Linked DNA regions of Xenopus tropicalis. The protein of the gene in region 1 interacts with the protein of each later gene in a pairwise test. Links are inferred from orthologs where the notes say so. Each region holds a gene or a part of one and is shown on either strand. Other genes may lie near its edges. The genes, in order: cinp and atrip.

Region 1 (4,532 bases):
TGTTCGTGGAAGAATATCCAGAACAGAGGATTTTTTTGTGAAAGATCTACAGATAGTGCACCTGTAAGGCGGATGCAGCCCACTGGCCACCAGATGGACAGCCCTGCCTAAACCTAATGTTTAATCACAGTCATAAGTCATATAATGACTGCCTTTCTTCTGGTAGAACTTTGTAACACTAGGTTTTCTTATTGGAAGCTACTATTACTTTTAGAAAGTCAGCAACTGGCTCAAGAGAACCGTCTTCCTGAACAGCCTAAGCAATAAACCAATACCTTTTAATACGTCATTGCCAAAAGTAGACTGCTAGTACTAACCCCAGATATGTGGGGTTTTGCCCCTTGAAAGAGGGCAAGCCTACAGTAACTGAAACTCTGTGCAATTAAGTGATATAGCTGCCTAACAACAAATTAAAAGGCATTGTAATGTATTATTATCATGTGTTTATAAAGTGCCAACATATTCTAAAGCACTGCACAAGGAATGGGTGTATATATTAAACAAATAGATTTTTCAACAAAATCAACCAATACAAGAGGTAAAAAGGGCCCTGTTCAGTGTTGCCTTTTCTACTGCTTGAAAGAAGCCCACAACATGCTACCTTACAGCTTGATAACTAAAAATATAATTTGTGTATATAAAGTCTTTAAAGCATAAAAGACAGGCTAGCACCTAATTTCCTTATGGAACATTAAGGAACCACATTTGTCAAATATCCTTAGGGACAGCTGTGATTGTAAAGATGTTAAAAATTCTCTTGATGAGATGTATCAAAAGATGATAGATAGATAGATAGATAGATAGATAGATAGATAGATAGATACTCTTACAAGAAGAGAAGTATGAATGAAATCACCCAGATGTACATTACGCAGCTTTCTGGAAAAAGTAAGGATGCTTCTTAAAGATAAAAAGGACAAAATATACCATCAAAACAAAATATGTACACTAAATGCAGATAAAAGTGTTCAGTAACATTGGAGCGTGCTAATCAAGATCAGTGTGTGTCATGTGCATAAATAAATATATATACAAAACATGTCTAGTCTAGGGCCATCCAGCGCTAATGACAGTGCAGGAGGGCAGCAGATGGCACATGTTATGTACTTTATGGTTAGATCTAAAGGCAGGGAGTGTGTGATGAAAGCTGCTAGATTCTTTTTGCTATGAGTGCATATATTTGCTTAATAACAGTAGATGATACACACATTAAGCACAGTGCTGATGGCACAGCAGATGAGCAACAGCTGGCAAGCCTCAGCTCAGTAGCACTAAGAGAAGCTATGCCAAATATGTACAATATAGTGAATAATAAACGTTAAGCAATGCTGTTTTATATAAGCCTTCTCCTGCCCCCTCTAAAGTATTTGGGGGCTTCTTCATCCACACTCACCTGTTTCTCGAGTGTTAGTCACGGCTTTGAAAACCCTTTCGCATCCAGGAACCTGACGCAGCTAAAACATACTCCCCACTCTCTATAATCACAACACTGTACAGACACCACTTAGGTACCGCCCACATTAGCATGAATCGGTCCTTCCGTTCTAGTCCGGAAAGCGGAAATTGTTGTGTGCGTTCCACTGCGTTCCACTGCGTTGCACATGGGAACCGAGAGCAAGGAGAGAGGGCATGCATAGTAGAGTGAGATAGAATGTAACAGATTACCGTGCTACTGAATGTATGCTGATACAATGGAAAGTAAGTTGCTTTGGAAGTTTGGTAAAACTGCAGACTTTTGCCAATTCAGGTTGCAGAGTGACTATTACGGGCGTGAGTGGAACATCGAATCTAGACGTTTTAAAAAAGGAAGGTTTCTTTCGGGGCAGGTATAGCTGAAGGGTGACTGCCAAATAGCACCCACGTTTGTATAATATAAGTGGTTGTAATAGTAATGGGCTACTGTGGGTGACTTTTTGTAGAATTTTGAATTTAGAATGTAATATAAATAAGCCATTGTCCATTTGCTATGATTTTTAAGGGCATTGTCCCTTACCTATGCCTTACTGTGTCCAATGATGTCTTCTGAACTGGTCCACTAGGGAAGAGGGGATATCTGGAGGGCCTGACTTTTGTTTACCCTATATCAGCGTTTTTCAACCACTGTTCGAGATGTTGCCTGGTGTGCCGTAGGCAGGGCACCAATGTACTAGGGGGGCACTGCTCTTGGCACCAATGTACTAGGGGGGCACTGCTCTTGGCACCAATGTACTAGGGGGCACTGCTGCTGGGCACCAATGTACTAGGGGGGCACTGCTCTTGGCACCAATGTACTAGGGGGGCACTGCTGCTGGGCACCAATGTACTAGGGGGGCACTGCTCTTGGCACCAATGTACTAGGGGGGCACTGCTCTTGGCACCAATGTACTAGGGGGCACTGCTGCTGGGCACCAATGTACTAGGGGGGCACTGCTCTTGGCACCAATGTACTAGGGGGGCACTGCTGCTGGGCACCAATGTACTAGGGGGGCACTGCTCTTGGCACCAATGTACTAGGGGGGCACTGCTGCTGGGCACCAATGTACTAGGGGGGCACTGCTGCTGGGCACAGAGTTAAATTTTTTAACATTTTCTAATGGTGGTGTGCCTCGTGATTTTTTTCATGAAACAAGTGTGCCTTTGCCCAAAAAAGGTTGAAAAACACTGCCCTATATCATTAATACTTACAGACATCTATATTGTGGGGTCTGAGGATTTAATACTTAGTTCATAGCTTTCTAAAGAATTCTGAAATCCTCACTACCAGTGTGTATAAATAAACTTAGCAGGGCCAGTCATTACCCATCTGCTGGACCATAATGCTGCTTTGTGGATATGCAGAAAATTTACACACTGAAGGCTTCCCAGGTTTGTATTAACGTCACTTCCAGTTTTATCCACAACCTGATCCACTACACAGCAAAACAAAGATGCAGGTCTGGGCAGTTAAAATGTGCGTCTAATTGGACAGGATTGTACTACAGAGACCTTATCCGCACACCCTAGCGCTCCAAAATTATATGCCCGGTGCACACTGCTGGAGGGATCGGCACCCTCCAAAACCAGTACAACCACAAAAAAAGCAAATGGCACTCAGGGCTACAAACAAGGGAAAACCCTTAAAAAGTTTATTGCGGAGGTGCACCTCCGCAATAAACTTTTTAAGGGTTTTCCCTTGTTTGTAGCCCTGAGTGCCATTTGCTTTTTTTGTGGTTCTAATTGGACAGGGCCATAGAGGGCCATATCAAATGTATCAGTCCCAGTGATAGCTTGATCAGTGCATGAAATTAAAAATTATAATGTATTTTTGATTTGCCGCAATTCAAACAAGAGACGCAATACAAAAATCTGAATTTGCTCAAACCTATTCATTCAAATTTTGAGACAGACTGTGGTTGTGCCCATAGTTCAACTTTATTAGGGATTTAGTTTGCCTGAATTTTTCAGGCTGTTAGGATAAGGCAGTAAAACGATATTAGAAACCTATTACCTGTGAGAATATTCTGAAATTATTCAGTCACATTCACAATTAGTTCTAAAACAGCAAAGGGATTCTTTAGGTTAGATATGGTGTGCCTTTTGCTTTGGATTTCTGTACCACCTTAACACAGTGAAAGTTTTTGCCTTCTAGAATGCTTCCAGTTCTTCCTGTTTTGATTATATATATCACATGCACTTTACTGCTATCAGTTACTTGAGCTTAGGGTCTCAATTACAATATACAGTAAATACATTTACTTGATGAGACACGTTTGTAATTCATTCAAATTCACATCAGAGTTGTCCAACAACATGCAATCTTGTGAGAGGACAGTCAACACCAGTGCCAGATAGAAACCCTTAATGCAACCTAATTAAAATCTTTGTGTGCAATGATGCCCAAATAGACATTGTACAGTGCCAACCAACAATAAAATTAAAATATTCAATAGAGATATTATCATAATCCAGTATGGACGGTAGAGGATAATACTCGCCAAACTGGAGAGCCCCAATGTGAAATAAATATAGTTACATATTTTACAAAAAGCAATGATATTCAGTCTGTTCATTGAGGCCTTTAGGTGATACCTTATTCAGTCTGTATGTCCATCTGGCTTTGTGTTACAGAATTATTCTTTCTCTGTCATCATTCCACTTAGGTCTTGGAACATGTTCTAATATTTGAACTCTCAACTGAGATGAATTATGATTTTTTTTCTTTAAAGTGTCTAATGTGTCAAATAATATCCTTAATTTTATAATAATATTGACAATAGGTTTGGACACATGCTATATTATCTTTTACTTCTATCTTGATTTTGAAGCAATGATCCTCTGTCCAAATCCAATAATTTATTTTCTGCTTTCTATAGTATATTTCTTGGGTAGCCCCTGTCAATAAATATTTGTTTAATATCATTAATTGTTTCTGGTAACACTTCATGATTACTAATTATCCATTTAACCCTAGCCATTTGACTGAATGGAATAGAACGTACCTGAGCTTTTGGATGAAAACTCCTGGCTTGGAGAGAACTATTGGTCTCCAGTGTTTTTTGGTATAAGTCAGTTTG
Region 2 (3,029 bases), on another chromosome or scaffold:
TGTAAAGTTTCAATGCCACTGTTAAAAACTATTATGGAAAAAACACACGACCGGCCACTGTAGTGTTCCATGTTATAATGGCTGTGTTTAGTTAAACATTCTCTATCCAGTAAAGTTTGTTTTTTTTCATAAAGTGTTTCCTTTTTGAAAAAAAAAAAAAAAAAAAAGCATTCTATTCTTTCAAGATGTAAACGACACCATTTGTGTGCCAAGAAAGACGTACAGGTGAAATTGTCAGTCCCACAAGGAAGATGCAGTCAGATAGGATAGTCAGGAACTGTACTATTTTACTAACAAATAAAAAAAACACATCTACCTTTTGATAAAGTTTGACTTTGTGTATTCAGCTTTTATAGGAAAAAAAAAAATTGATGCACCAAAAAGTTTTGTTTTTGACCGTTCCAGCCTATATGTAAGGAATGTCTCCCAGCTTTTCAGCCCAAACCCTTTCTCCAGTCCAGATCTGGCACAATAAATAAGAGAGAGTGCAATAAATACAGCAGGTTTCATATAATTTTGTACAAGGTTGGAATTTATTTTATTTTTTAGAGTACAGTATTTACAGCTACACAATACTGAAAACAAATAGTAAAGGGTTTGCAGAGAGAACTGCACTGACATAAAAAGTTCATTAAAAGAGACCACAGCTTATAGGAAGACCCAAGGTAGCAGTCATGTGCAATCCATGTATTCATCCTCTGTTTCAACTTCCGGGGGGCAGAGCTCATCCAATGCATATTCTGTAACACATATATATAAGCTGAGAAGCCGCAACAAAGTCCATCCAGAAAGAATCAGAAGGAAGAGTTTTTCATGATTTTAATTTCCATAGTGGTAATGTAACAGCAAGGGGGCAAACAATCAGAATGTATCATTGACTACATGAAAACATTTCTGATTGGTTGTTGGTTACAAGATTTAAAGAGGACCTACTACCCTGCATTTAATATTTAGTTTAGTGCATAATTTAATAAAAAAAAGCAGGTAAGCAAATTTTGGAAAAATGTTTACCTTCATTTTCTTTCAACACCTGCACCTTCTTGAAGAGAGCCCGGACCCCAGGTAAGGCCTGGTCATACTGGTGCAGGACCTCCAGGCAGTGCTCATGAAAGTTCCTGTCCTTCTGAGAAAGAGAGTGCAGCAGCAGCACAGCGTCCCGCAAGAACTGCACCACCTTGTTTTTAGTAGTGGTCAGCAGATGGAGTGACAGGCGCCGCAAACCCAGCCACTCCCGGTGCAGCATCAGGACCACTGCTTTAACAACCTGCATAAAAAGGAGACAAGGGCAGGATTGGTAAATACACCGTAACAGCAACTGCTGATTAACTCACAATGATGGGCCTATCCAACCCTGCACGGCATAGCAGGATTATAAGAGGAGAAAATAGTTATATCTATAAATACATTTATCATATAAATACCAAACAAAATTACACCCAGCCTTTCATAACATTCTGGTAATGTGTCCCGGGAACTTACCTCCCGCTCACACTGGCATACAGTCTCTGAGGTGGTGTTGATTGGGTTCCAGCCTATCACAGACAGTTTGGTAAGGAAACGGACCACCTAGTAAAAAGCAAATCATTATCATATTATATATTCAATGACAGTATAAAGACATGAGGTGAAAGCCAAGTGCTTTAATGCAGGTCATTGGAACTTTGAGGTGACTACAAATATCCTTCTCTGGGTTGCATTGGGGGTGTCCAGGACTTCCACCCCAGTTGTTCCTGGATTATCAGCCAGCCAGCCACCCCCCCATTGGTTAATACTAATGTGCTAATTTATTAGGGTGCAAGTTCAAGGCCAATCTGGGCTGGCAGGGCCCACCAGGTTTTTTCCCGGTGTCCCGCCGGCTCAGTCCGACCCTGATCCTCTTTGAAACCAAAATTCATTTTTATATTTATTATTCAAACCCGTTATAAATGCATTTAAAAATCCCAGCTGTCAATCATAACTACCTGCCCCGCCTCTATGCCACAGCACTCACATTCCCCCAACCTTCTCACTATCTAATTGTGTAGCCAGTGCATGGGAAAGGGAACCAGGTCCCCCATTCTGGCACATACACTAGATTTGGGGGTGATACAAAGCTTGCCTTAATAACAGTGCCCACAAAATGGCAGCTGCCTGCGATTTTTATTTTCAAGATTTATATAATTTATACAGTTTGTGCAGTTCATTTTGCTTAACAAACACATTAGAAAAGAAATTGGAATTATTTCTTAGGGTGACAGGTCACCTTTAAAGCACAGTTAATCCTAGAGAATATACACTATTTATGACGCCTTAAAGGAGATCTGAAGTTTAACTGAAAAAGGAGGACAGAAATGCTGTACATTGTGTTTTGGGCTTCTGTACCAGCCCAAGGCAACCACAGGCCTTTAGCAGGGAAGATCTGTGCCCCAAAGATGCCCCAGTAGCCCCCCATCTTCTTTTCTGCTGATTCACTGCATAATATTTGTGCTGATTTACTCAATTATGGTGCAGGGTGCTAGTATATATCTAAATTTTAAGCCAGACAGATTGAGAAGTCAAGGGGAAATACTTCTAGATCTGCCTGTGCAAAAAGTATGCACCTGAAGAAATACAAATTTCAGGCAATATTCAGTGTTATTCTGTTTATTCTGGCAACAAAAAACTTTAACCTAGTGCAAACAAATGTAATAGTCCCCCATATTTGGAGGAGGTCTCTTAAATACCCATTTCTATTACAGAATCAACCACTCTGAGGCAGAAAAACAAATTTACATGTACAACACTGCTGCCTGCAAATTTACCAGGAAGGCATTGTTATAGTAAAGCAAAGAAGACCACTGAAAATGCAAATATGTGTGACGCCTAGGAATCAGTTGCAACATTGTCATAACAGTGTTATGTGTAGAAATAAAATGGGAAATATTAAATAGGTTAGCTATGTGGTGACAGATTGCCATAAATAAAACTGATTTTTATTAAAGGCTTTTTTAGGTTTTAGCCTATTGTTTCTGGCCACTACAGAGGGTGGGAGAGTAGGCAAACACGTGAGC

The links.
Region 2: the proteins of cinp (region 1) and atrip interact in binary tests that used the Homo sapiens proteins (3 or more experiments, as listed by UniProt). The link is inferred for Xenopus tropicalis from reciprocal best matches to the Homo sapiens genes CINP and ATRIP.

What each region holds. Positions count from the first base shown.
Region 1 is NC_030684.2:97,543,950-97,548,481, reverse strand, and holds the start of cinp (cyclin-dependent kinase 2-interacting protein), read left to right. Parts: upstream 1-1,572; 5' UTR 1,573-1,676; coding exon 1,677-1,698; intron 1,699-4,532. UniProt on the Homo sapiens protein: Component of the DNA replication complex, which interacts with two kinases, CDK2 and CDC7, thereby providing a functional and physical link between CDK2 and CDC7 during firing of the origins of replication.
Region 2 is NC_030680.2:123,888,993-123,892,021, forward strand, and holds the end of atrip (ATR-interacting protein), read right to left. Parts: intron 1,567-3,029; coding exon 1,480-1,566; intron 1,265-1,479; coding exon 1,012-1,264; intron 741-1,011; coding exon 673-740; 3' UTR 516-672; downstream 1-515. UniProt on the Homo sapiens protein: Required for checkpoint signaling after DNA damage. Required for ATR expression, possibly by stabilizing the protein.